Linked DNA regions of Notamacropus eugenii. The protein of the gene in region 2 interacts with the protein of the main gene of each other region in a pairwise test. Links are inferred from orthologs where the notes say so. Each region holds a gene or a part of one and is shown on either strand. Other genes may lie near its edges. The genes, in order: PEX11B, PEX19, PEX10 and PEX12.

Evidence for each region.
Region 1: the proteins of PEX19 (region 2) and PEX11B interact in binary tests that used the Homo sapiens proteins (3 or more experiments, as listed by UniProt). The link is inferred for Notamacropus eugenii from reciprocal best matches to the Homo sapiens genes PEX19 and PEX11B.
Region 3: the proteins of PEX19 (region 2) and PEX10 interact in a two-hybrid assay, tested with the Homo sapiens proteins (4 studies listed by BioGRID and IntAct, with this or other methods). The link is inferred for Notamacropus eugenii from reciprocal best matches to the Homo sapiens genes PEX19 and PEX10.
Region 4: the proteins of PEX19 (region 2) and PEX12 interact in a two-hybrid assay, tested with the Homo sapiens proteins (4 studies listed by BioGRID and IntAct, with this or other methods). The link is inferred for Notamacropus eugenii from reciprocal best matches to the Homo sapiens genes PEX19 and PEX12.

What each region holds. Positions count from the first base shown.
Region 1 is NC_092873.1:303,222,735-303,229,992, forward strand, and holds the start of PEX11B (peroxisomal membrane protein 11B), read right to left. Parts: upstream 3,013-7,258; 5' UTR 2,729-3,012; coding exon 2,673-2,728; intron 1,530-2,672; coding exon 1,414-1,529; intron 1-1,413. Other genes in the region: gonadotropin-releasing hormone II receptor-like, read left to right, coding at 3,465-3,974, 7,090-7,258. UniProt on the Homo sapiens protein: Involved in peroxisomal proliferation. May regulate peroxisome division by recruiting the dynamin-related GTPase DNM1L to the peroxisomal membrane. Promotes membrane protrusion and elongation on the peroxisomal surface.
Region 2 is NC_092873.1:385,304,543-385,311,876, forward strand, and holds the start of PEX19 (peroxisomal biogenesis factor 19), read right to left. Parts: upstream 3,020-7,334; 5' UTR 334-3,019; coding exon 270-333; intron 1-269. UniProt on the Homo sapiens protein: Necessary for early peroxisomal biogenesis. Acts both as a cytosolic chaperone and as an import receptor for peroxisomal membrane proteins (PMPs).
Region 3 is NC_092876.1:37,005,896-37,012,962, reverse strand, and holds the start of PEX10 (peroxisome biogenesis factor 10), read left to right. Parts: upstream 1-4,055; 5' UTR 4,056-4,174; coding exon 4,175-4,286; intron 4,287-5,549; coding exon 5,550-5,630; intron 5,631-7,067.
Region 4 is NC_092873.1:307,719,797-307,726,896, reverse strand, and holds the start of PEX12 (peroxisome assembly protein 12), read right to left. Parts: upstream 3,023-7,100; 5' UTR 2,590-3,022; coding exon 2,464-2,589; intron 2,298-2,463; coding exon 1,744-2,297; intron 1-1,743. UniProt on the Homo sapiens protein: Component of a retrotranslocation channel required for peroxisome organization by mediating export of the PEX5 receptor from peroxisomes to the cytosol, thereby promoting PEX5 recycling.

The DNA.
Region 1 (7,258 bases), about 82 Mb from region 2:
TGAACAAGACAGCCACGGGCAGATAAAACAAGGCTGAGGACAGAGTGTGGCGGTAAGTAGGCAACAAGACAAAAGCAAGGGCACTGGAGCAGCCAAGTTTTGTTTCTTTCTCTTTGACAACTTCGGACTCTAATGACATTTTCTCCATTTCCCTTTGTTCATGGTTTTAATCAATCCCAATCCCCTGCTTGTACTTTGTTTTCCAGCCACCTCAACTGTGAAATAAGAATGAGGGGGTAAAGTTATGGCTTGAAGAACATTCTTAATCAAACAAGGGATAATAGTGATCATAAAAGATAAAATATGTCATTTCAATTACATAAAGCTGAAAAGCTTTTGCATGAACAATACTGTTAGAAATAGAAGTTGTTAGCTGTAATAAAAAAAATCTTTGCCCCAAAGATCTGCTAAAAGTAACATACAGAAAATAAATAGGGAATTTATATAAATATATCCCCGACCGATAAGTGATTAAAGGATATGAAGAGGAAGTTGTCAGAAGAAATTCAAGTTATTAACAAGAATATAAGTACTCCAAATCTCTAGCAAGAGTAAGGCTAATTAAAAATACAAGGTTACCTCACAATCATCAGACTGACAAAGATGACAAAAGACAAAAATGGTAAATGTTCCAGGGTTTGTGAAAAGACAGGCACACAAATCCACTGCTGGTAGAGCTCTGAAGTGATCTAACCACGTCAGAAAACAACTTTGGTATCATGGTAGAAAATTCACTAAACGATATGCCCTTTAGTCAAGTGATATCATGACCAGGCATAATCCCAAAGAAGTCAAAGACAGAGGGAAAGACTCGATATAAACAAAAATATTTATAACAGCACTTTTTTTTGTAGCAGCCACAAAATGGGTCCCTGCTGTGGGGGAATAGCTGAACAAACTGTGGTGTATGAATATAATGAAATATGACTGTGCTCTATGAAACATCAAATATAAAGAATTTAAAGAAACTTGGGAAGACTCCCATAAATTGGAACTGTGAATAAAGAGGCTGATGAACAATTAAAATGATGACCACAAAGGTATACAACAACTAATAACTTTAAAACTCTAATCAATGCAGTGACCAATCTTGACTGACATGAGGCATGCCCCCTCCCTTATCCTGAGAGATATGGTGCCTCTAGATTTGGAATAAAGCATGCATGGATGATGTATTGATTTGCTTTCCTTAACTGCGCTTAGCTACAAGTAAAGATTGAGGAGGCAATGGAAAAATCACTGAGCAGTGACAGACTTTTAAAAGAAAAGAGTATTAATAAAACATTTATTTAAAAAGGTTTTTGGTAAAAATACAGGGAGGGGACGATTAGCTAGAGGAAGAGACTAAAAGGAAGTCAGAAGGAAGCAGAGAATACTTGGCACTTATCTATTCAGAGGAGAAAAGTCACTCACGCTTTCGTCCAAGGCTCAGATGGCCCTCCAACTGCCGTATTTGATTCAGAAGTTCAGGACTTGCCCCATGTTTCTGCAGTGCATGACCAAGGAGGGAGCAGGCATACTGAGCAGCTCTACAGGAAGGAGGAGAGAGGGGTAGGGGTGGTATTCAAGTCAGGCTGAAACACCTCCTTCCCCAGCAGAACCTTCCTTAAGACTTGCACACCTCCAAACCCCAGGTTCCTCGTTCTGCCCTTCTGAACAAGAGAGGAGAGGGTATGGGACAGGAGAACCAGTGAAGGTCACAGGGACTGGGAGGTGAGGAAGCGTGGATTAAAGCAAAAAAAGAAAAAGGAAATGGACACTGGAAAGAGGGTGGAGGATCGTCGCTGGGCATCCAGATAGGCACGGAGAGATGGGGGGTGTGCTTGCGGCACCGGCTGAAGGGCTGGTAGCTCCCCGGCCTGGGGGGGGGGGGGGGGGGGTCTGGCCGCGGGGCCCAGGGCACCACCTGGGGCACTTCCCCCACTGCCGGCGCCCCGAGACCGCTCGGCGGTTCTGGGGTAGAGTCCACAGACTCCACTCCAGCCCCATTCTTCCTCCCCCGCACCCCACGCCGCCTGAGTCACGTGGGCACGAGCCCCTTGGAGGCCCAGCAGCTAACAGTAGGACCTGTGGCGACCAGGCGGTTCACCACGCACACACAGACACAGAGACACAGAGACACAGACACACAGACACACACACATAGAGACACAGACACACAGACACACACACAGAGAGACACACAGACACAGAGACACAGACACACACAGACACACACACAGAGACACAGAGACACAGACACACACAGACACACACACACACACAGACACACAGACACAGACACACACACACACAGACGCACACACAGACACACACAGAGACACACAGACACACACACAGAGACACAGACACACACAGACACACACAGACATACACACAGACATACACACGCACACGCGCACACACACACACCAGGATCAGAGTCCATCTCCGAGGCGAGCCTGGTCGTCGGGATCTCCACCCTCCCCGTCCTGCCCCCAATCCATGCCTCAGTTTCCCCATCTGTCCTGCGGGGGGGAACGACTCATTTCCTCACAGCTCAGCTCGCGCACTAGCTGAGGGGTCTCTCGCTCCCGGCCTCCGTACCCGGGGCTGACCCATCCTGACCCCCGTCGCCCGAGGGAACCGCAAAGATCTGCGTCCCCGCTCGCGCCCCCTGCCCCCGGCCGCACCTGCACAGGCGCTCCCGGGCCTGGCTCTGGGCGCTGAAGCGGACCCAGGCATCCATGCCAGCGGCCTCGAAGTCCACTAACCGGCTCCGCGGCCCAGCACTGCCCAGCCTGGGCTCGTCTCCTTTCCCCTCCCCACGCCCTCCTCCGCAGAGCCCGACGGCACCGCGTGAGGGACAAACTGGGGAGCCAAGCAAAGCGCGCGGAGGCCCCGCCCCTCGGAGCCGCGGCGCCGCGGGGGCCCGGCGGGGCCCGGCCTTCCCAGGGGTGCTTCGGCTTCCCTCGGAAGCTCGGGCGCGGCAGGAGGCTCAGCCATCTGCACAGATTTTCCCGCGCCCCAGGGACGGGAGCGCCGCCCAGCGCAGTCCTTGGGGCCCCTTGGCAGCCGCGATCTTTAAAAGTACTAGCCGGTGAGGAAGGGGGAGGTGGGACCAGCAGGAGGCGGGGCCTGAGGAGGCGGGGCGGGGCCGGCCTAGGCTGGCGTGCTGAACAGCTGCCGCAGTGACCTCCGGCTGCGGAGCGGGCGCTGGACCGGGGGCTCACGGGGAGCTGGGGACCAGAGCCCCTCGGCCAGCTGGGTCTGGGCACGGAGCAGGAGGGCCTGGGAAGCCCCCTGCGGGATGGGACCCTGAGTTCTGGACAGCGGGGCGGAGCTGACAGCCCTCCGGACAAAGATGGGGAGCGTCCCTGAAACTGACGACCGATGCGGTCCGAGACCACGATGACCCGCACCAGCCCCTGGCCTGGCTGGGGAAGAGATGGGCTGCCCGAGCTGGCCGCTTCCCCCCTGCAGCTATGTCCTCCGACAATGATACAGTTTGGGGCTCTTCAGCCGGAGAGGAAGCCTGGGCGGGGGCGGGGGTCGAGGTGGAGGAGTCAGCGCTTCCCACCTTTTCAACTGCCGCCAAGGTCCGAGTAGGAGTGACCGCTGCCCTGTTCCTGTCGTCGGCTGCAGGGAATCTGGCTGTGCTGTGGTCAGTGACGCGGCCAAGATCCAGTAGACTCCGCCCCTCCCCTGTCCGCCGACTTTTTGGCCACTTGGCCGCTGCAGACTTACTGGTCACTTTCGTGGTCATGCCCCTGGATGCTGCGTGGAATGCCACCGTCCAGTGGCTCGCTGGAGATGTTGCTTGCCGGACACTTATGTTCCTGAAACTGCTGGCCATGTACGCGGCTGCTTTTCTGCCTGTGGTCATTGGACTTGACCGCCAGGCTGCGGTGCTCCATCCTCTTGGACCCCGAGGGGGTGGGCGAAAGCTGCTGGGAACGGCCTGGGGGCTTAGTTTTCTACTTGCCCTGCCCCAGGTGAGTGACCAAAGGAGTGTGAGCCCGTGGAGTCGAGGTTTTATCCTACCCAGGGAACTCACGGAAAAGATGGTCTTTTACCTCTTCTGTGCCCTTCAAGTCTATTTACATACAATTGGCATGAAATTGAATGCAGAATCGCCCCACCCATCCGCTGCATCTCGCTTTCCGGTGGGTCCCCCAAACTTCAGTTTATCTCTTCTCAGTTTTCCCTCAACTCTACGGTAAACAAGGAGAGGCTATAGTTAATGAAAATAAGAAAGGAAAGTGAAGTAAATTGAAATCATGGTATGCAAATTTATGGTGCATGACCGAACCTGAACACTTCTGGCTGTTCTGACGTTCAAATCTTAAAGCAACCCGGGAGTTTTAAAAAGTTAGGGAGAAAAAAAACCGAAAACTTTTTTTTTTACCAAAACAAACAAAGCAGCTTGTGTTTGTGGATGGACTAGAAAAAATGTTAGGATTCTTCACTTTGGAAGGAGTCTAAGAAAAAAATGCACATTTTACAAATATTGCACTGTAAGGTTACAAAATACTTTATACACATTTGAGTCTCAACAACAGCACTATGAGTTAGGTAGTGTGCATTTAATGTTCAATAATAAATGCTTATTGAATGAATATTCCCATTTTACAAGAGGAAACCAGGGTTCAGAAATATGAGTGATTTCCCCTAGTTCACACAGACAATAAACAAAAAGCCTGAACTAGAATCCAAGTTTTCTGACTCTATGCTAGTGCTGTTTTTAGTACAATAAAGGCATTTAAATCTACAAAATCATTAAAAGTACTAATTTCCACAACACAGAAACTAGGTGGCACCTCTCAGCTAGAGAAGATATATGAGAATACTGAAAGAAATCCTAATTATGGTTTTAAGACAAACATGTATTTTACCTAATGAAGCCAACATTCCAAGTAACTCATCCTTAACTGTAAAGAAACCCTATTACAGAGGAGGGAGATACATTAATTTTTTCTTCTTTTATATAGACAAAATTAGTTATGCACCATATATCAATACCAACAAATTAATAATGATGACTTTATGGGTAGGAGAAATATTGTACAAAAGGGGATGTTCTGTCAGTTCTGAGGTAACTGAGATAATTGTTAGTTTTTGGCTATAATTTTTTTTAATAGATTCTATTTTTTAAATAAAATTTGACATTTTTAAAATGTGTTGATATTTTAGAGTTTAATATATATGATGTTTAAAGTCATTAAACTGATCAGACTGCTGCTTACATTTATTAAGTTTCCAGATGCCAGACATTTCAGTAAGAGATTATACATGTATTGAAAGATTTCTTCTAATTTGATTGTGACTTTTCTCTGAGCCTGAATTGCTTCCTCTATAAAATAAAGGGGTTGGGCCAGATAGTCTCTAATGTCCCTTCCTGCTCTACAGTTATATTAATCTTTTATTACTTGGAGAAAAGAATAAGACTGGGATAAAGTAAGGTATAATGTAAGTACTATGGATTGCTTGGAGCTTTGATCTACTTTTAGATTCCAGGTCACTTGTATCCATTCAGATTTGCACCAAATACTGAGTTTTCCACCTACTCACCAGCAGCTACAAGAAAGAGCCAATAAAGTTTGTAAATCCTGTGGCTTTTCATTTTCAGTTTATAGAATGGCTAGATCCCTGGTCATTTATCTGGCTCCATTACCTTCTCCCTCCCCAAAATGTCCTCTTACAAGGTTATTTCTGAGCATTAGAAGGTAGAATAAGAAAACATTGAATACCTAGGGAAACAAGGAGGAAAATCCTTTTTTTTTTTTTTTTTTTTTTTTTACAAAAAAGGTGGGATTTTTTTTGCATTAACTGTATAATTTGATCCCTAGAACTGTCCTGTGAAACAGCCCAGGTTTTGCTTAATTACTTGCTGGTCTCTGAGTCAGCCCTTGTTTTTTTTCTCAGCTCTGCCACTGAGACAATGGGCAAGCCAACTGTTATTAACTTGTGTTGCTTACCTCACAGTTGTTTTGAGGGAAGTGATTTGGTAGTAAAAAGAGCTGACATATCAATTAACAAGTAATTTACTTCCCTCAAAACCCTATGAGCTAGATAGTACAGGTATTATTCTCATTTTATATTCACAATCTGAGAGGTTCTGAAGTATCCAAAGGTTTATTTGGGCAGAGAGGGGAAAGGGAAGGAAAGCATTTATATAAGGTCTTTTATGTGTCAGGCACTTTACCAATATCTCATTTCATCCTCTCACATCAACCCTGCAAGGTAGATGCTGTTATACCCATTTTACATCTGAGGAAACAGAGGCAGAGGTTAAGTGACCTGCCCAGGGTCATACAGCCAATTAAGTATCTGAGGCTGGCTTAGTATTTGATTACATTTGAGTATAAACTTGTAAAAAGAGACAAACTCATGTCTTCAGACTCCTGATCCAGTGTCCCCTCATGACTACATCTTGGCCCTTCTCTATCCCCAATCAACTCAGTGGCTCAAAGTTCCAAGCAACTGGTAACGTTCAGCTATAGACAATGACTCCTTCCATTTCTGTGAGATTTCCCCCCTTTCTGCTGAAACTGCCTCCAAGCAAGACTTAACTATTATTTAGAAGCCAAGGTATTTTTGCTTCCATAGCTGGAGTGGAAACTAACAGCCCTGCAGTCTCCAAGCAAGAACGATACTCAGAGACCAACACAGCACTTTAAAAAAAAAAAATGTCAATTTTTATTAATACTTTCAGTAGTTACAATACACAAGCTCTTGCTCAAAGAACATCTTGTTGATAGATTGACTGCTTAAGTGGGTTTCTGAACAGCACCCTTTATAGTTATTTCTTGTTCAAACAATATTTGTCTACACACAGCAAGTAATAGCACCGTGAGTTACTGGCTAGATGGCTAAAAGAAAAAAATACCCTTCATATGGTTGTTTTTGGTAAAACAGAATTCAGCTACATTTATCTTTAAATGGATGTTTATGCTTCAGCTAGTTTGGTGGTTGGCATCATGGATATACTATTACCCTAATCAGTATTTGCTACATCAACCTCCCTATATGGTACGGGTGAGGGGGTGGAAGTGAGGAATATTATGACATAAGGTGGAAGTCTTTGTTTTATACTCCACCCCACTCCAGCTGTTCCTGTTTCATACTGTCCGCCGTGCTGGCCCAGTCCCCTTCATTCAGTGTGTCACCAAAGGAAGCTTCAAGGCCCGATGGCAAGAAATCGCCTATAACCTCTTCACCTTCTGTGGGCTCTTCCTGATACCTCTGACAGCCATGGCAATCTGCTATGGCCGAATTG
Region 2 (7,334 bases):
GTTCAGGATAAGAGAACTGGCTTCACCAAGCGCACTGTGGGGGGCGGCTGGGACCACGTCCTGGGCTCCCGAGGCTGTCCGCCGCACCTTGCCGTCCCCCCACGCCGGGGGTTGACGGCCCCTCCTCGCGGCAGACCCCCGACCTGAGCGGGGTGGCCCCTGAGGAGAAAGACGCCCCCCCCCAGCGCCAGCGTCTGCGCTTTTCGTCCCCCTCCACGCCCAGGACCACGGGCCCTCTGGCCTCTCGGGGTCCCCAGTCCGGCCCTTACTTTCCAGAAGCTCGTCCATCTCCGGGTCGGTGCCCGACGCGTTCTCTTCCTCCGCCGCGGCCATCTTGCTCCCTTGGACTTGCCGTAGAAGCTCGGGCTCCCGTCTTCCTACCACGTGCTCCCCGCTTCCTACCCGCTGTTCTTCGGCCTCGCGCAGCCAATGGGGAGAGAGGCAGGCCGGGCACCGCCATTTTTAAAGAGACAGATGACCTCATTTCTCTCTTCCTGCGGACCACCCCCTGCTCCTCCTGCCGGACGGGGCGCCCGTCTTCCCCGCCCCCGCGCTCGTGCTTTCGCTGCCGCGAGGCCCACCTGTGGAAACGCCTTCAAAGCCCAGTTCAGGTACTGTGCTCCAAGAAGGCTTCCCCGAGACCCGGTGACGACCTTTCCTCACGTTGTTAAAGCGTTGTACCTTCCCTTGAACTCGCTACGGGCTGGCTCGTACGAGCTGTTCTGTTCAGGTTCTGTCCCTTCAGATCGCAAGCCCTGCCACAGGAGCTATCTTTGCGTTTTCCGCAGCGGAAAGAATGTGGGACTTGCAGCCAGCGGAGACACGACGCCTCCTGTGTCCCTGCGAGCGTCGCCCGACCTCATCCACAAAATGCAGTTCCTGCTGCTCTGCATTGCCTACCTTACAGTGCTGTTGCAAGGAAAACGTCTTGTGACTCTCAAAAACTTTGGACAATGTGTAACTTCACATTTTTAATGGATGTGTGTTGACTTGAGCCTACGAATTAGCCTGTAACCCTACAGACAAAAAAAACGAGTGCTTGGGAATCCTATGTATTATTCGAAGTCAAATCTTTCTCCTGCCTCTCCTCACTTACCCATTTATTAGGTACCTTCAAATTTTACACTAGAATTCATCCTTTCATCAGTTGAAATTAATAACAACAGGTTAACCCACATACCCACTCAACTGCTTAGCCCATCAACATATTTTATGTTCTGTGTATGCTCTGTTTGTCAAAGAACATTTCAAAAAATCGGTCCTATTGGACTCTTTTCTTTTATATGCACCCCCCCTCCATTCACACAATTCAGGCCCTCATCACCCCTTCATCATTTCTCACCTGTATTTAATAGCTTCCACCGTAACACAATTTAAACTTCTTGATTGAAGGGACTAGTTGGGTTTGAGTGGTTTTTTTTTGTTCATTTGCCTTTGAAGCTACCATACCTTGTTTAGAACCTTGCACGTAGTATGTGTTTATTGAATGCTTATTGAATTGAACTGAATTTTTTTTAGCTTGTGATTTCATCCTTGTGCAGAAACTTTCTTCACAAATACACATTCTCAATTCCTCTGTAATTTACAAGTTTTATAGAATTGTCTAGCATTGAGAGTTAAGCATCTTACCCACATTACCCACAGTATGTGTCAGAAGGAAAACATTAACCCAGATCTTGCTGACAAGGCAAGCCTTATATCCACTATTAATCAACAAACAACCATTATTAAGTTCCTACTTAATAACATCAGGCACTTTGCTACATGCTAAAGGTGATAGAAACAAAACTGAAATAGATCCTACACTTAAGGCGTAAACATTCATACCTACAAAATCCATCTGAAGTGGCAGGGCACTGGTCAATGAGGGCCCAATAACGCGCAGATGCAGGGATTTGGTGAGCTGGCTTCTGGAAGTTTCTGAAGATCTGGAGCAGAGGGAATATACAGGTATTCTATGATTATTTCCCATCCATTTACCACCAGTGAAGAAAACACCATTTGATTTTGACTGCTGAGCTGTTGAATGTACATTCAAAAGGCACCAAATGACCAAATGGACATTAGCCTTTCCTCGTGATGCTCAAGTCATGGAGTACTTTGTGAGCCTTTGTTTGGATGGGACATGTTGTTTGTTCCTTGTTCTGGAAGAGAATCATGACATTATGGAGGTGATGTCACATGATAGCCATGTCCTCAGCAGCCTCCTGCTGCCCATTCCCTATCTCCAACACTTCCTCCCCCCCCCCCCACACTCAGACATACATAGCTTGGGTTAGCATGTGCTGTGAATATGATGTATCTGGTTTTTTGCCTTTGTATTTTTTTTGCTTTCCTGCTCTTAAGTGTATGAGTATTGGAAACGGAATGGTCTAAGTTTCAACCTTGTGAGATCTCAGATGTTGGAATTGGAGTCCATACCTGAATTTATCAGCAGCTGAACCCTAAAGAGCAATGTGCAAGATCAGCAGCTCAATCAACCAATTAATCGATCAATATTTGTAAGCACCTACTATGTGCTAGGCACTGTGAAAAGTGCTGAGGATACAAAAAGAAGCAAAAAAAAGAGTTCTCTACCCTAAAGGAGCTTACAATTCATAGGGCTAAGACAATATGCAAACAAAGCTATACAAATCTATAGTTGATACACAAGAAAAATAGGAAATTAGAGATTGTGAAAGACTTCTTATAAAAGATGAGATTTTAGGTGAGACATAAAAGAAACCAGGGGAATCAGCAGTCAGAATTGAGGAAGCAGTGTTTTCCAGGGTTGGGAGACAGTAGAGAAAATGCTTGGAGCAGAGGGATGGAAATAGCACAGAAGGAAGTTTCACTGGATTCTGGAGTGATGAGTTCCTGCCAGGTACTGCCTGGGGAGTAACGTGTAAGAAGACTGGGAAGTTTGGATATGGCTAGGTGTTGAAGTCTTTGAATACCAAACAGAGCATTTTGTATGATTCTGGAGGCAATAAAGAGCTACTGGGGTTTACTGAGTAGGAGAATAATTTAGGGAAATTACTTTGGTGACTAAATGGACAATGGATTGGAATAGGGAGGGACGTCAGGTAGAACCACTAGCAGGCTATTGCAATGTTCTATTCACTGTGCCACCTGAACTGATGCATAGTGAAGTGATTAGAACCAGAACAATTTGTACAGTGATAACAATATAGTAGAAATAAACAGCTTTGAAAGAGTTAGGAACTCTGAACAATGTAACAAATAAACAGTTCTAGAGAACCGATGATGAAACATACTATACAACTCTTGATAAGAAGTGAAAGTTGCAGAATGGGACAGATATACATGTATATATGCAGACATATGTGTGTGTATTTATATGTGCGTGTGCATACACACACTTTTTTTTTTCTTTAAGACCTAGCCAATGCTGAAATTTGTTGTACTTGACCACAGATGTTTGTGATAGGGGTTTTGTTTCCCTTTGATTCTTAATAGGGAGTAGGCGTGGGATGAGAGGAAGAGAGGGCAGAATTTTACTGAGTGAAAAAATAGAGAAGTTCAGAAGAGGGTTTAGGAGAAATGATGAGTTCTCTCTTGGACATGTTGAACTTGAGATACCTACAGGACATCCAATTTGAGATGCCCCAAAGATGGCTGCTAATGAAAAACTATATATAGCCTAAGGGAGAGAGAAGGGCTGAATAAATAGAACTGGGGATCATCTACCTAGAGATGATGATCAAATTCATGAGATCTGGTAATATCACCAGTGAGAGTAGTCATGGGAACTAAATAGATTGAAGAACTTGGAAATTAGGGTATTTGAGAGAGCACTAGTATGAATAAGTTCCCAGTGTGAGGAGTAGGGTGGAGAGAAAGATTTTGAGCCAGCCACAGAACTCATTAATGAAGAAAGGATAATATTGTGGAGCAGTTAATAGAGTACCAAGCCTGAAGTCAGGAAGACCTGAGTTCAAATTTCACCCCAGATATTTATTAGCTGTATGACCCTAGGCAAGTCACATTTGCCTCAGTTTCCTCACCTGTAAAATGGGGATGATAATAGCACCTATCTCACAGAGTTGTTGTGAGGATTAAATAAGATAATAATTGTAAAGCTTTTAGCACAGTTCCTGACACATAGTAAGCTCTATATAAATGTTAGCTGTTGTTGTTAATTGATAAAAGCCACTAGCATCTAGATTGTATGATAAATTTGGATAAAAAATGAAAGAAGATGTTGTTGAGTTATAGTGGCAGAGAGAGTTTGGAAGTGGCAATGGGGGGAGCAAGGAATATTCTGATGCCCTCCCCCCAAGACCAGGTGAGTTGGGGGTATGAGTGAATGAATGTACAACTAGAGGCTCTGAACTAGGGTGGTGATAGAGTAGAGAGAAGGGGATGAATTTAAGAGATGTTGTGGAGATAGACAGGACAAGATCTGATAACTGAACAACTGTATGAGGTAAGAGTGGGGGGATGATACCGAGCTTAGTAGTATGACTGTTACTACAAAACTGAGAGTCTGGGAGCCTGGAAGGATGCTGGTGTCCTCTACAGAAATAGAGAAGTGTTGAAAGAGGCTGGTCTGAGGAAAATCTGAGCCTCAGGTGGGACATGCAGAGTTTGAGATGCTCATTGAACATCCAGTGAGAAACATCTAATAGGTAGTTGATAATGTGAGGCTGGAGCTCAGAAGAGAGAATAGGATTGGATAAATAGATATGGGAATCATAAAAATGATTCCCAGGGATAGAGATAATAATTGATCCCATGGCAGCTGATCAAGTCACCAAGTGAGAGTCAAGAGAGAAAAGAGAAGAAGGCCAGGATTAGGGGGTGGGAGTGAGGGGGTGATATGCATGATAGTCCCGCAAAGGAAAATAAGGAGTGGTCATGTGGGGAGGAGTAGAACCAAGAGAAAACAGTCCCAAAATCCAGAGAGAAGCATCCAGAAGAGGGTGTTCAGTAGGGTCAGGTGCCATGGAGAGGTCAAGAAGAATGAGTATTGAATAAAAAGCATTGAGTTTGGCAATCAAGAGATCATTGGTAACTTTGGAGGAAGCACTTTCAGCTGAGTTATGACATCAGAAATCAGGATGCAGAGTTAAGAAAAAAAGTGAAAGGAAGGGAAGTGGAGGTACTGAGCATAAACAGCTTTATCTAGATTCTAGAAGCTGGACTGAGAAAGGGAGGAGATATAGGATACTATGTTGACAGAATGGTAGGATTTTTATTCATCTTAGGCTAGGCACAAATAGAAGAGGAAATAAATAGAATAAATGAATCCAACAAAGAAATGATAACAGATGGAACTTACCTTGTCTCTGAGAGAGTTTAAAGACTTGTAGTCAGATAAGTGTAATACAAGGTGGGTGTAATGGGAGCAAAAGAGGGATCTCAAGTGCTCTGGAAAAGTTTGAGTAGAGAGAAAATACTTTGCTTCAATGAGAAACATCATTGATGTTACCGGTGTGTAGAGTCTTGATAGAAGAACAAGATTTTTACAAATGAAAATGTAAAAGGAATTGTGAAGACAATTATAGGCATTGGTTGGCTTATGTGAATGCACAAAATCATCAAAGCTATATGAAAGGGAATCCTATGAATGAAATACAGTTAAAAATTGGACCCAAACTGTGGAAGGCCTTAGATACTTGCCTAAGGATCTCATCAATATGACTTGTTGGCACCAGTATTGGCCACCGAATCTGACTTATTTTGCTTTTTCTTGGTTTATTGTTGTAGGCATTATGTACACTTCCTTTGGCTCTGCTTTCTTCATGTAAGTCTTGTGTTTCTCTAAATTTCTCATTTTCACAATTTTTTTTATGGTATTGTAATATTCTATTGCATATACATACCAGCTTTTCCCCAGCTGTTGGGCACATATTTTGATTCCAGGTTGTCACAGGTAATGCTTCTATAAGCATTTTTTTTTAATGTATAGACTTTCTATCATTATTGTTGAAATATAATCTAGGAGATCAGGTAGCTGGTATAGTGGGTACAGCACTTGGCTTGGAATCAGCAAGACTCATCTTCATGAGTTCAAATCTGGCCTCAGATACTTACTAGCTGGGCAAGTCACTTAACTGTTTGCCTCAGTTTCCTCATCTATAAAATTATCTGTAGAGGAAAATGGCAAACCACTTCAATATCTTTGCCAAGAAAACCTCAAATGGGGTCATGAAGTTGGACATGACCAAAAAGACAGAACAACATGATCCCAGAAGTGGGATCTATGGGCCAAAGGTTATGAACAATTCAGTAACTTTTCTTGAATAATTCCTCATATTTTCCAGAATAGTTGATTCAAATCACAGATCCAACAATCTTTAGAACAATATTTTTCCATATTTCAGCATCTTTGCTAACTTAATAGATATGAGGTGAAACTTCATGATTATTTTAATTTGCCTTTCTCTGATTTTTAGTGACTTTGAACATTTTTGCGTGGTCACTGATAGTTTGTGTTTCTTCTTTTAAAAACTTTTTGATGATTTGTCCATTAGGAATCTTATATATCTGTGTCAATTCTCTATAGTTTCTGTATTTCGGACTTTTATCAAGAGTTATTTAATGCAAAGATTTTTCCCCCAACCAGATTTATTTAAATATCATTTTGACCAACCAATAAATAAACAGAAGAAAAGGAGAGAATAATTATGATGTTTTTTTAAATATAGGGAAGAAAAACTTAATTTGTAGGCAGGAGGGCAAAAGACAGTAGACAGGGAGAGAATGAAGATTAGGGAGAAGGCAATAATAGGAGGCGCAATATACTAGATAAGATAGGAGAATATGAAATCAAGGATGCACATAGAAGGGTTTGCCATGGAAAGAAGGGCCAACCCTTCATGTAAAGAATGAGGTGAAAGGAGATAGGAGCAGTAGGAAGATAGCTACGTGGCACAGTGGATAGAGTGCCAGGTTTGGAGTCAGGAAGGCTGATCTTCTTAAGTTCAAATCTAGTCTCAGATACTTGTTGTGACCCTAGCAACTACAAGACTGGATGAAGCTGACAGAGCATTCTTCTGTTTATGACTGTCAAGGACAAGGCACCTATCAGACATTATTTTGAATAATGGGACTTATCTTGGTATTTTATGGGCACGTTATGTCATGTCATGTCGTGTGTATGTTCATCCTTTGTTGCCAAAGAAGACCATGCCATCAGAGAAATAATGACATGACTTGTACTTGACTTTATTTTGAGTGAGTGAGGGCTGTGCAGGTCTCCAGCCTCACTTCTCCTCCAGAGTCATCTGAATCTAGTGACCAGAAATTCATCAGGATGATTGGAGATGACCCAGGATGAGGCAATTGGGGTTAAGTGACTTGCCCAAGGTCACACTGTCAAGTGTCTG
Region 3 (7,067 bases), on a different chromosome or scaffold from region 2:
AAAAGGTACTAGTTGTTGGGGAATGAGCAAAGGCTTCTCCTAGAAAGAGTGAATCTTGAAAGAAGAGTGATTTTAGCAGTTCATCAGTCAAGTATTTATTAAGCACCCACTGTAGACCAGGCATTGTGGTAGGCAAGAGGGAAATAAAACCAAGAATGAAACGATCCCAACCCCTAATGAATTTTCATTCCCATAGGGAGATAAATACAGATAAAACTATATACAGGCTAAATATACAGGGAATAAATACAAATATATACAAGATATTGTGAGAGGGAGGGCAGTACTATTTGGAAGGATTAGAAAAGGTTTCATATAGAAGATGGAGTGTGAGCTGCATCTTATTTTTCCCCTTATTTTTCTAATATTTTAATAGTATTGTATGTTTTCCCAATTACATGTAAAATTAGTTTTCAACATTTATTTTTTTTATAAGATTTTGAGTTCCAAATTTTTCTTTCTCCCTTCCTCCTTCCCTTACACTCTCCCCAAGATGGCAAGCAATCTGATATAGGTTATACGTGTGCAATCATGTTACATATGTTCCCACATTAGTCACGTTGTGAAAAAAGAATCAGAACAAAAGGGTAAGCCACAAGAAGGAAAAAACAACAAAAAGGTGTATGCTTTGATCTGCATTCAGACTCCACAGATCTTTCTCTGGATGTGGATAGCATTTTCCATCATGAGTCCTTTGGAACTGTCTTTGATCATTTTGTAGTGCTAAGAAGAGCTAAATCTACCATAGCTGATTATCTTGAGCTGCATCTTAAAGGAAGAGAGAAACTCTTTAAGGTGGAAATGAGTGGAGTCAGTGCGTGCCAGCATATGGGACATCCAGTGCGCAGATGATGGTCATGGGTTAGGAAGAGGGAGAAAGCCAGCTTGGCTGGATAGCACAGTGTGGGAGGGAGAGTAAGGTCCAGTGAGTTAGGTTGGGGCCAGTTTTAAAAGCTGAACAGTGAAATTTCTATTTCTAGAGGCAATGGGAAGTAAATGGACATTGAATGAGTGGGGGATTGACATGGCACAAGAAATATTACCTTGACAGCTCTGTCTAGGATGGATTGGGATGGAGAAGGACTTGAGACAGAGAGACCAGATAGGAAGCCATCGCAATAGTCATGGCAAGAAATGATAAGGGCCTGAAATAAGATGGTGACAATGTGAGTAGAGAAAATAGGTCAGATGTGGAAGTATTGGGGAGGTAGAAACCACAAGATTTGTCCAGTGACTGGATTCAAAGCAAGAGGGGAATTAGGAGCTGATGACATCAAGGTTAGAAATCTGGCAGACTGTAAGGATAGTGGTGCCTTCAATAGAATAGAGCATTTGGGGAAAAGGGAAGGTTTACAAGATTTGGTTTAGGATGTGGTGAGTTTGAGATGCCCAGTAGCCTATAGTGAAACTCAAGGGACAAACTGAGGCTAGAGACAGATATTTACCCTTTGCCCCCCAACCCTCCTCTTCCTTGTCTCCCCCCCCCCCCACACACACACATACACACCTACTGTGCTATCTCCCAGTCTCTCCCTTTCCAAACCAGGTGTTTGTCCCTTAGGGCAGTTATGACCTAAACCAAACTGCCTCTACCCACAACAGCTACAGGGTTGTCTTTGGGAAAGTTCAACCCCAGTTGTCCACTCTCTCCCAGATCATCTCTTGGCTATGAGTGGGAGCAGTGACCAGCAAGAGCTCTATCTCCCCTTTTTTGGCTTTGAATGGAACCAAAGATCTTGGAGCATGGTGAAATTATAAACTGGATTATAGATCTTTCCATCATTCCTCCCACAAAACTGGCCCATCTCTCAATTCCCTAATACGGGGGTGAGGGAAGGACTAACCTCCCACTTACAGTTTTCCATAACCACCTTCCCCTTCCAGCCCCACATCCCACTATCCAATCAATTGCCAAATTGTCAGACTTCCACATTTGTCCCCTTCTCTCTGCTCACACAGACAACACGTTAATTCAGGACCCCATCACCTCTTGTCAGGATTATTTGTAGTAACTTTCCCTGCTCTAATTCAGCCTCCACCCAGGGGATTTGGGATTTTCCTAAAGCATTGCCCTGACCATGTCACTCCCCTACTCAGTAAACCCCAATGGCTCCCTATGGACTCAAAGATTATTTCATCTTCATTTTAGTCTTCCTTAATTTCTATTTTTGAACTTCATGTTGTACATAAATAGTAATAATACTAGTCAGCATTTATATAGCACTTTCAGTTTTGCAAAGTGTTTTTTAAAATAAATATTATCTAATTTCATCCTCACAACAACCCTGGGAGATAAGTGCTATTATTGCCCTCACTTTACAGAAGAAGAAACTGAGGCGGGGGGGTCACACAAAATGAGTAAATATACACGTCTTGAGGGTGTATACTCAAAACAATCTTTGTTTGATGTGCAATATCAAGTCTTTGGAGAGAACCTGAACACTTCATACAATAATAACAATGTTGCAAAGGGAAGCAGCTTTGAAAGACTTCGGCACACTGATCTATCTACACAGTGACCAACTACAATTCCCAGGACTCATTAAGAAACATGCTATCTGCCTCCAAGTGAGGGACTCTTCAAATTAAAGCAGATACATATATGTATATATGTGTGTGCATATATGTGTATCACATATATGCATATCTACACAATGCATATACATACATACGTACATGTATACACATGCATATACACACACATACCGGTAGAGCAGTGGATAGAGACCTGGACTTGGAATGAGGAAGACTCATTCCAGGTTCAAATCCAGCCTCAGACACTTCCTAGCTGTGTCATCTTGGGCAAGTCCCTCTACTGTGTTTGCCTCAGTTTCCTCCTCTGGAGAAGTAAATGGCAAACCATCTCAGTATTTTTGCCAAGAAAACCTCAAATAGGATCATGAAGGGACAGGATTGAAAAACGACTGAACGTGTGTATACACAGATATATACTAAAGCAGATGAATAGAGGGGACAGAGAGACAGACGGATGGATGCAAAGAGAGGATAGAGAGGGACGGGTAAGATGAAAGGGGCAAAGGTGGGGGTTTGTTTTGCTTGTCTCTATTTGTAATTGCTTTTTCTTGCTTGCTAGCTTCCTTTCTCAGTGGGTGGAGAAGGGGAGGGGAGGGGAGAATTTTGGAGACCACTGAGGCTTGTCTGCGATGAAGACACAAGCTCGGAGGCTGGGGTGGGCTCTGAGCCCAAACGCGGTGAGTTCGCCCCTTCCTGGGCTGCGCAGCCTCCAGGCAGGCCGTGTGGCCCCCGGGGTGCCCACCCCCCGCCCCCCAGGTCTCAGATGCCCGTCCTGAGCCCTTCGCCAGCTTGTCCCACGGGAAGAGGCTTTGGGACCGGGAGGGGCTGCTCGGGATATTCGGACGGTCTGATCCTTTCTTACTGCATGGGTGGGGACACGGCTCGGGCCCCCGAGTGGCCGCGGCTGGACCCAGGTCTGCTGACTCGCAGCCTCCGCCGGGAAGGGCAAGACCGGGGGTCTCCGCTCGGGGCACTCCCGAGGGGATCGCGAAGGTGCAGGGTGGGCTTTCCACGCCCGCGGGGGGACGCGGGCGGATGGTCGGCGGAGCGGGCACTGCAGGGTAGCGAGGAGAAGCCGGGACCCCAACGGTCCGCTAGCCAATCGACAAGGGTTTGCGAAGTGGTTAACTAAGTTCAGGAGGAGGAAGGCCGTACCCCCTGCTCCCCAGGAGCTTCCACTCCACGGCACGGGCGCGGGGCACGGGCGCGGGGCACGGGCGCGGGGCACGGGCGCGGGGCATAGCCGGGACCACCCGTCTACACAGAGGTCCGGGGGAGCCCTGGGGTCCCGGGGGGAGGAGGCTATGGGCAGGGATGGAGGGCAAATGAGACTGGGGTTCACGGCCCCCGGCCATTCAGCCAAGTGCCAAGCTCGAGGCCTCCGTTTTCCGCTCCCCGCTCCCCCCCCCCCCCCACCGATCTCTCCTCCCCCCCACCAACCCATCCCAGCTCTCAAGAGACTGGTCCCTTTAAGACCTTCACCTCCTCCTCCTCCTCCTCCTCCGCCCCACCCCATCCCTGCACGCGTGAGTGACGTATAATCCACGCGACACGATCCGCGCGACGGCGGTCACCAGGCCCCGCCCTTTGGGCACCGAGGGGCCGTGCCCGGAGCTCGGAGGCGCTGAGGGTCGTGGTCATGGCCTTGGCGTCCGCCAATCAGCCGGAGGTGATCCGTGCTGCGCAGAAGGATGAATATTACAGGGGCAACCTGCGGAGTGCGGCCGGAAGCGCCCTGCACAGCCTGGCAGGTGAGCCCGGGCCAGGGAGTGCGCAGGCGCGGACGGCCGCGAAGGCCGGGGTGACCACAAGAGGTAGTGGGCGGGCGGGAGCCAGAGTGCGCAGGCTCAGGTGGGGATGGGGTGAGAGGGAGTGGGCGGGGCAAAGGGGAGTGGGACTGCGCAGGCTCCGACTGGAGAAGGCGGGGCCAGCGAGGGAAGAGCCACGGAATGCGCAGGCGTGAGAGGGAAGGCAGAACAGAAGAGTGGGCGGGGCGGGGCGGGGCGGGTCCATGTGTGTGCCCCGCCGCTAGGTTCTCTGATGTAACTGTTGTGATTACGCCCAGTCCTTGCTTTCCACAAGCCCCGCCCCCATGGCCCTGCTAGTTTTCCTTCTTACCTGCTAGAGTGCCCTTCATCGCTGGTAGGATTTAATTTACTTTGTGCAGACTCTTCTTTCTGGCACCCAAGGCCCTTTCTTTCAAACAATAAATACTGATTAAGCGCCTGCTGTGTACCAGGAACTGTGCTAAGCGCTGAGAATACAAAAAGAAGCAAAAAGTGCTTGCCCTCAGGGACCTTCCAGTCTAAAAAACAGTGAAATAACAGCCAACATTCATATACTCCTTACTATGTATCAGGCACTGGGGATTCAAAAAAAGGGAAAAGACCATTCCTGCCCTCAGAGGAAAAACGAGATCATAATTGTAAAGTGCTTAACACAGGCTGACACATCATTAGTGCTGTACAAATGTTAGCCATTATTATCCAGCACCCCCTGGATGCCAGGCATTGTGCCAGTTACTAAGGATGCAAAGAAAGTCAAAAGACAGGCACGCCCTGCCCTCAAGGAGCTCACAGTCTAATGGAGAAGACAATGTGTAAACTATTAGGGAAAGACAAGACAAGCCAAGTATAGGATAAATAGGAAACAATTAACCAACGGTGGGTTGGGGAAGACTTCCTGTAGAAGGTGGGATTTTAGTGTGGACTTAAAGGAAGCCAGGGAGCTCAGGAGTCTGGCACAGGGGACAGCCTGAGAGAATATGGAGACATGGAGGGTCTTGTTCGAGGATGATTTGGCCCCAGCCTGTCTTTGAAAACTCGTTGCCCATGACCCACGCTCCAGGCCAGCTCACTTGGTCTGCACTGTTCCCCTTATAGGACGTAGCATCTCCCACCTCTTTGCCCTTGCTGCCCCTCATTGCCAGGGCTTGGCACAGTGCCTGGCTCACAGAAGATACTTAATAAATGTGCACTGACTGCTTAGATTGCTGTGCCTCTCTACTCTTTCAGGTGCTAAGAAATGGCTAGAGTGGAGGAAGGAAATTGAGCTGCTGTCGGATGTGGCATACTTCACCCTTACCACGTTTTCAGGTAGGGTGGTGGGGGATGCAGTGAAGAATCAACATGGTGCCCCCAAAATCTGAGGGCCTTGGGGGATGGGGTGGCTTCGCAGCACTCTCAGGCCTGGGAGCCCTTTCCCCAGCCCTTAAGTCTCTGCCTTTCCCTCCTTCCTCAGTTAAGCACCTGGGAGGCCTCCTCTGCTCACACTTTAGAAGAATTCTTTCAGGGATGGCAGAGAAAGGATAAGTCCTTTGTCATTCGTGATTATGGGAGTGAAATGGACCTCTGGGCCTGTGGTCAAATCCTGCCTGGCCCAGCGAGGCACAAGCAGCCACCTCGATCCCCATGCCTGTGCAACCCTGTGATTCATGGGCCTCTTACAACATCCCTGGGAGCCCTTTGGCCCAGAGAGGATGAATTGACTTAGCCCAAGTTCCATCATTATGCTGTGTCACTGCTGACTTCCATTACTCAGCTCAGTTCAGCAAACATGCTACAGCACCCACTGTGTGCAAGGTCCTAGGGACATGTGCTAAAGAGATGACAGTCTCTGCCTAAAAGGGGGAGTCATGCCAGGTACCCAGTTAAGTACAAAGAACCGTAATGGGGAAAAGGGTGAAATACTAGCAAAATGCTCCTTGAAGAAGAGAATGTCCTTGCTTGGGGAGACTGAAGAGGGCTTCATGGAGGTGGCAGCTGAGCAGAGCACCAAAGAGAAGGATTTGGACCATGGAGATAAAAACAATAATGATGGTTTTTTTGTTTTTCAGTCATGTCTGATCCTTCATGACCTTATTTAGGGTCTTCTTGGCAAAGACACTGGGGTAGTTTGCCATTTCCTTCTCCAGCTCGTATTACAGATGAGGAAACTGAGGCCAACAGGGTGAAATGACTTGCCTAGGGTCACCTAGCTAGTCAGTATCTGGGGCTGGATTTGAATGCATCTCTCTTCCTGACTTTAGGCCTTGGTACCACTTAGCAAACCTAATAGTAATAACTGGAGTTTACATAGCATTTTGAGGTTTTCAAAATGTTTAACATGTGTTGTCTTGGCTGACACAGCAAACTTGGAAGTAGGTTTGATTAATATTCCCATTTTGCAAATGAGGAAACTGAGGAATAGAGGTGAAGTGACCTGTTGGGGGTCACCCAGCTAGCGAGTGTCTAAGAGGCCTTATTTGAACTCCAGGCCTAGCACTCTGTAAGGAGGCAGGCTCGGATAGTGATGAGAACAGTGGTGAAGCCAGTTTGGCAGAGGCTGCTAGGCAGGCTCCCCCAGGGACAAGATGTCAGCTTTTTATCCTGGAGTCAGTAGGAAAGAAATGAAAAGAGCCAAGCAGGAGTGATGGCTGGAGTCTGGCCTGATGATCTAGAGATTGTTCTGGAAGCAGGCAAGCCCATCAGTGGGCTGGGGAGAGGTGATGAGGGCTTGACCCAGGGCAGCTGGGGTGGGGAAGGGTCAGAGAT
Region 4 (7,100 bases), about 78 Mb from region 2:
AAACAGACATTATGTCACAGGTCCTAAATATTACAAATTCTAAGAATATTCATTCTTAACACTGCTCATCAAAATCATGTGCAGGACTACATGGCCAAGTTTTCCAGTATCACCACATCTCTGTTAGAAAGAAGCCAGTTTCTATCGCTTCTGCCTCTGCAATACTTGTCACCTCTTTTCTTCAGTTATCCCCTTTTTTCCACTATCTGCACTCTCGTTTATTTCCACTCTCAAATCCAGACTCTGGGGTAGTGTCTTAATAGCCTCTTTAGCAGTGCTGCTGTCTACAGTCTCTTCCTCTTCCAACCCAGCTTGTACACAGCTGATAGATGAATATTCTTTATCCACAGACTTGATGTTAAGAAACCTGATGTCAAAACCTCAAATGGTTCTATACTGCCCACAGCTTTCCAAACTCCTTAGTCTTGGTTATATCCAAAGTCCTTAGCCTGGCATTCAAGGACTTCTAAAACCCAGGGTCAACTTTTTTAACCTTATTTTACAACACTGATGAAGGCTGTGTGACCTTTATAACCTCAGTGCTCCAAGAGACAGAAACTTTTCAGAGAATGTGCTGATCTAACACTTTCTATCAACTTTGTGTGTATCTTGTATATATACCTACACAGTCTTATACATGTTGGCATGGGACCTCATTAGACTGTGAGGGCAGGGACTATTTTCCTCCCCTTTCTTTGTATCCACAGGACTTAGCACACTGTCTGACACATAGCAATAAATTAATAAAAGCTTGTTGACCTGCATTGTTCCAGCAGGTTCCTTACCTGCATTCTCTGCCCTCATGGCTATCATGAGTCTGGTCTAACACCATTTCGTGATTTCTTTCTAGCCCAACAAGACCCCTTGTCCTGATCCATAGCCTGTGCTTTACCACCTCTTTCTGGAACCCCTTCTGACATGCTACCTTACCAGCTTCAAGTCTCAGACCCAACACTGCCACTTCTTTCTGGAAGCCTTCCAATGGGAGCATAGACTTGTAGCTCTGAGGGACCAGAGTGCTGCACAACCCCCTCTTTTTACAGAGTTGAGCCCTTATGTGCAGAGCAGGGTACTAAGTGGCAGAAGCAAGATTTAAAGCCCAGTGGAAAAAGAGCTGGGACTAAGGTCAACAGCCCTTGGTGACCTCTTACTTCTACATAAAGGGCTATTGTACCAAGTCCCTCAACCTACACAGGTTATGCCCTCCCCTAGGGCAGTGGAACCAATTTGGTTTAATTTTGGCATCTCTCCAAGCACTAGCAGATTGCCATATTTAGGAGATAACACGTAGCACATAACTTTTAGAAAGTGCATTGGAGAGGCAGCCTCAGAAGCAGGACAAAAGACACAGGCCTGCCTCAGACCCCTCCCTGTGCCCAGACAAGTCCGTTGACCTCTCGGTAGTTGACACTGCTCTCTAAGACTACGGATTGTAGAGAAGGTGCTGTCTTACATTAGTAGAGGGAGTTTTAAGGAAATCACTGGGCCACTTCTTTAATAAAAGCTCGTTAAATAAAAATACCTTCCTTTTTCTAACTGGGAGTCACAGGAAGCTAACTACACTTTAATTACAAGTAATCTAGGGATTTTTAGATGATTCAGTGATGAAGTAGGTTGTGTGAAGCACAACCGCAGAGCCAGACTGTAAAACTGCCTGAATGTGGTAAAATCAGGATCAGATTTTAGCATGGTATTTATGAATTAAAAAAAAAAAATAGAGGTTTTCTACCTCCAGCGTTTTACCTAGTGGCTGGCTGTTGCATCCCACTGGCTCCAGCTAGTGTCTTTTCCAAAGCTCGGATATCCTCTGCTGAGAGTCTACCTAGCCGAACTCCAGCTAGGCTCAGCAAGGGTGAATGATGCTGAGCCTTCCCCAGGATGTAACGTAACTGCTGTACGAGGAACCAGCCTTCCCAGGCCATGGTCACAAAGGGATAAGCTGCCAAGAAAGCTCGGTAAAACCGCTTCCAACAGGACGAGGGGGTGTGGATGGAATACTCATCCTCTTCTCTTAGGCTGGAGACCAGCTTCTCCAGCTTCACTTTCAAGTAGGGAAGGAGGACCAGGAATAAGAGAGACTTCCAAAGCTGGTTCTTGGGGACGCCAGCACTGGCCAACCTCCGGACCCCGCTAGGGTCTCCCATCACGATCCTCTTTAAGCCATAAAAGTTTTCAGAGAAGGAGGCGCTGGCTTTAGACAAGTAGTGCTGCTGTAGTAGAAGATCCAGAAAAGTGAAGATCTCATCGAACCACCTCCAGAGGAAGCCATAATGCGCTGGGTTGGATTCTGCAAGAACCTAGGGCAAAACAGGAAAATGAAGTTCGTTATGTGCCGTCCACAGCCGCCGGGACTCGCTGCCAGGAGTCCTGGGCGATCTGGGCGCTCGGGTTAGGGCTGGGGCGTCCCGGGGTCGTGGCTCCCTCCCCGGTCCGCTAGGGTCAGTCGGCCCCCTCCCCCTTTACCTTGGCCACGTGCTGGAGAGCGGGTCTCACGGCGGCCATCAGACTGTCCTGCGCGACCACCTCGAAGATAGAGGGCCGGTCATCCGCGCCCGGGGTGGCTGTGATGTGAGCCCCGTGCTCGGCCATCGTGCCCTCTAGGTGCCGGGCCCGGGCGGACCCCCGACGTCAGAAAGGGAGGAAATCCGAGGGGGCCATCGGGGAGCCCGGCCGTGCGGAGCCTCAGGGAGGAGGGGCGGGGTTGGCGGGGGGCTCAGAGGGGGCTGCTCAGCTGGAGGGCGACGGGAGCCCGGCCACCATGTCCGGGCCACGGGGAGGAGGCCGAGGCGACTGCCGCGGCCGGGCCAGGGGCTGGGATCCGGGCCCCATGAGGGAGCCCGGCGCTGAGAGGGAGGAGGGCCCTGGAGTCCAGAGCCTTGTGGGCCGCACTTGGGGGCCGGCCAACTCTGGAGCAGTACACAGAAGTAGACGTTCCGGCGGCGAGACGGGGATGGGGTGGGGGGATGGGGGTGGGGAGGAGGCGCTCTATCCCGCAGGCCGCCACTCTATTCCTCCTCGCTTCACTTCCGCTTCCGGCCGGCTGGCCCTTTAAATGGGCCACACCCTCTCTCCTTCTCTGCCCTAAAGGCACGCGTTCTAGTTCACCGCTGCCTCGGGGCGGCTCCCAGGCCTGCAGACGGGGGTGGGTTCGGCCGGGCCTTCTGCTTGGGACCTTTACCTTCTTTGCCCAGAGAAAGCGGAGGGGAGGGATCGGCCTAGACCGGAGGCGGGGATTAAGCCGCCTGCCGCGCTCTTCCGTAAAATGGGGGAAAAAAGCCTGCTTCCTGGTGCTGTGTGAACCTGAGATCCTAGCCGCCACCTTTGTGTGGTGCTTTAAGGGATGCAAAGCGTATTGCAAATGTCTCTGCATCCTCGCCACGGCCCTGGGAGCTAGGGGCTGCTGTTATCCTCCTATAGGTGGGTTCGGTGGCTTGCCTTGGCAAGCCCGGAAGTGTCTGACCGGGGATTTGAACTCCCGCCTTCCAGAGGACAGGTGGAGTGCTGCGTCCACTGCACGTCCAGCTGCCTTCTTCAGTGGGAAGCCACAAGATAATATTTATTAAGTACCTTCATGTGTTATAACACACGTCCGAATCTCGTTTTCTTGGACAGACCTTGTGATTTCGTCGATATAATAAAATCAGCCGTTTATATGATATTTAGGGCTTGGGAGGCACTTTTCATACGTTAACTCATTTTATCCTTACAGCAACTTTGGGAGGTAGGTGCTATTATCCCCATTTTACAGATGGGGAAGCAGGTGGAAAGAGGTTAAATGTCATGGCCAACATCCCCCAGCTATTAAGTGTCTGAGGCAAGACTCCAGCTCAGAATCTTGCTGATTTCAAGTCATCTAGCTTCCCCTCTTTGCCAAGGCAGAGTTGCACTAACCGCACTTGACGGTCTCGAGAGACTTTCCTCGAACGTCACACGTTATTTCAAAGGAGCTCAAGGCGGCCTCCAGAATATATGGCACACTGGTGCTGTCAAGTGATACTTAGACCTTGAGGTGATTCAGCATCTCTTATGTCTAATCTTTCCATTTCAGACTTCGCCCTCAAAGGGGTAATCCTCTGAAATGTCATTCCCTCTCAAACAGCTATTGAATAGATACTTTCTAGTAATCATAAGGTGGCCCATGCCTTAATTTATCACTTGGCTTCTTACTTTGTCAAATGCATTGTAAATGGTTGTTGAATGAACGGATGAATGAAGTGAGGAAGACCATCCTAACAAGTGAAATAAATAATAATATAAAGGAGTGTATAGTAGCCTGAAAAAATCGAAAGAATTCTCAATTTGTGGTCAGAAGATCTAGATTTTTAGTTTTGTCTGACCTCAATACTCATTCTCTGTGTAAGAATGAACAAGTAATTTCACCTTTCACCATCAGCAAAGTAGAGATAAAACTCCAATTAATTTTGTAAACAGCAAGGTATTCTCTCTGCACATACTTATAATTTATATATAATTCATAAATTTATATAATCTATAATATAAACATTTATGAGAGCTTTATTTATATGTTTATATCCATTTTATTTATCACAACAGTTTTTCTGGAAAGAACAATGAATTTGGAGGCTGGAGAGCTGGATTCAAATCCATTCAGGTTCTTTACTTGCTATGGGGGTGACCTTGGGTGTCACTTTACCTTTGTGGGCCTCAGGTTCTTCAACTGTATGAGGAGAGGGGTGGATTACATTATTCTTAAAACCCTTCCAGTTCTTAATCCTATGAGCTTTCTCATTTATTAGATGGATGACCATGCATGCATGGGCCATCTCTCCTGGTAGAAGGAAGCTCTATGAGAACAGGAACTATTTTTTTTTTGTCTTTGTGTCATTGGGACAGAGCTCACACTGTCTTACAGATCAGAAGTGCTAAAGAAATGTTTATTGAATTATTGAATCTCGTTTCTGAAATAGGGATAATACTTGCAACTAATGAACTTTTCAATCCTTAAAGTGGCATATAAATGTTATTTTTATGCTGGTCACTGATTAACCATTCATAGAACCATCTAATAAATATCAAGAGGGGAAGATAGTTTCTCTTTCCTAGGGATAGATTCTTATATTCGTTAGAATGTCTGAGTGCTGGACTTAGGAGTCTGCAAAGTAAATTTGATTTGGGTTTACAACATGGAAGCACTGTGGCACGGTGGAATGAGTGTTGCATCTGCAGTTGAAGGACCTAGATTCAAATCTGGAGTAATCCCTGTCTTTGTAGCCTAGGAAAGTCCCTGTCTCAAGTTCTCCAGGCCTCACTTTTTCCATCTGTTAAGTAAGAAGGTTGGACAAGGTGGCTTCATAGCTCCTTTCCAGCTCCAAATCTAAAACCATATGATTTTCTTTGCATGCCAGACTCCAATTTGGGACCAGGGATGTTTATGAACTGAATATTGATTTGCAGCATGTAGAATTGGAAGAAACCCAAGGGGTCATCTGGTCTAGTCTTTTCATGTTTTTATACTGTATTTTTTTATCCCTCATAGAAAGTAAGCTAGTTCAGGGCATTGTTGTCCATCGATTAACAACACTTTGTAGCCCTAAATAAACGTTTGTTAATTTTACTCATATGATCTTGGGCAAGTCCCTTAGCATCCCTGAGCCCCAGTTACCCCAAACTGTAAAACTGTGGGGTGAAACTAGAGCCCCTTATAGTCCTGGTTTTTATGGACCTGGGAAAAGTGAGGTTGTCAACCATGGTCATCGCTTGGTCTGGATTAAAATCCAGTTCCTGGGTTCTTTGGCTCACTAGAAGGACTAATACATTTACTTTCGGCAGAAGAGCAAAGCTTTCTGGGGAGTTCCCTTTAGCGGAAGGATTATTAACCTTTTCTGTGTCATAGCAGTCTGGGGAAGCTTAGAGACGCCTCTTTAGAATAATGCTTTTAGATGCAGACAATGTATAGAATTCAAAGGAAACCAATTATACCAAAAGTTATAAATATACGTACATACACACATATATTTAAAGTCTTCGAACCCCAGGTGGAGAATCTCTGCCTTGGAAAGCTTAGCCCAGTGTCCGGCCCACGGGGAGCTGGAAGACAGTAGGCGTTTAATCAGTGACATTGTCCTGAAAGAAACAACTCCCGAGGCAGCGATCTTTGGAAAAGGACCGTTTCTGCTTGGCTTTGTCCCGCCAGCACTTAGCCTGGTTCCCGACACGCAGCAGGGGCTCAGAAACCGTACGCTGGTTCACAGACTCTCTTAAAGTAGAACCTCCGCCCCTCACCGGGGAGAGCACCAATCGGGCAGCAGCAGGGAGGGCGGGCGGGGGTAGGGGGGAGTGCTATCTCCATGACGACCAGACGCGCCGCCGTTGTTCCATCCTGGGCTCGAGGCTCCCCCCAGGGGATGCTAGGAGCCCCGCCCTCGCCAACCCCCACCCCCGCGCGCCGCGACGCACGCGCCCTTGACGTGGGCGCTTCCCGTCGGCCATCTTTAGCCCTGGCAAAGGGGAATTTGCGCAGTGGCCGAGGCCGCCCCGAAAGGATTCGTGCTGGGCAGGAGCCCTTTGCCCGCTCGTCGCCCACGGCCCGCCGCCTTGTCCCTCCTCGCTTCTGCTCGCCTCATCCCTCCTCGTCGCCGCTGGTGAGTTCAGGCCTCCCGGTCTGTGGGTGCGGGGGCCAGTGGCGAGGGAGCTGGGGCTGTCGAGGCCGGGCGTGGCCGTGGCCGTGGCCGCGGGGGTCCGGGGAGGAGGAGGCGGGGGGGCCCTAGGGGCGTGGCCAGGTGAGCCCAGCGGGGGTGGGGGGGGCTGGGGATCGGGCGGTGCGGGCCGACTCCCGGTTCCTGTCAGGCTGCCGGGGCAGCTCCTGGGAAGAGGAGGGGGCGACGAATGGCCGGCGGGAGGGCGCGGGGCGCGTGCGGGGTCCCAGCGTGCGGGCGGCCCCGGCTGAAGCCCCCGCGAGGAGCGCTGCTGAAATCCGCCCTCCGCTCCCTCTCCTCCTCCAGGCTCGTTCTGTTCTCCCTCCCGGTCTCCCCTTCTCCCCTTTCCTCTCCCTCCCGTTGTCCTCTCCCCTTTTCGGTGCCTCTCCCTTTGTCTCTGTCCCCTTCATCACCAGGACCCCGTGAATTAGGTGGTGTTTCCCC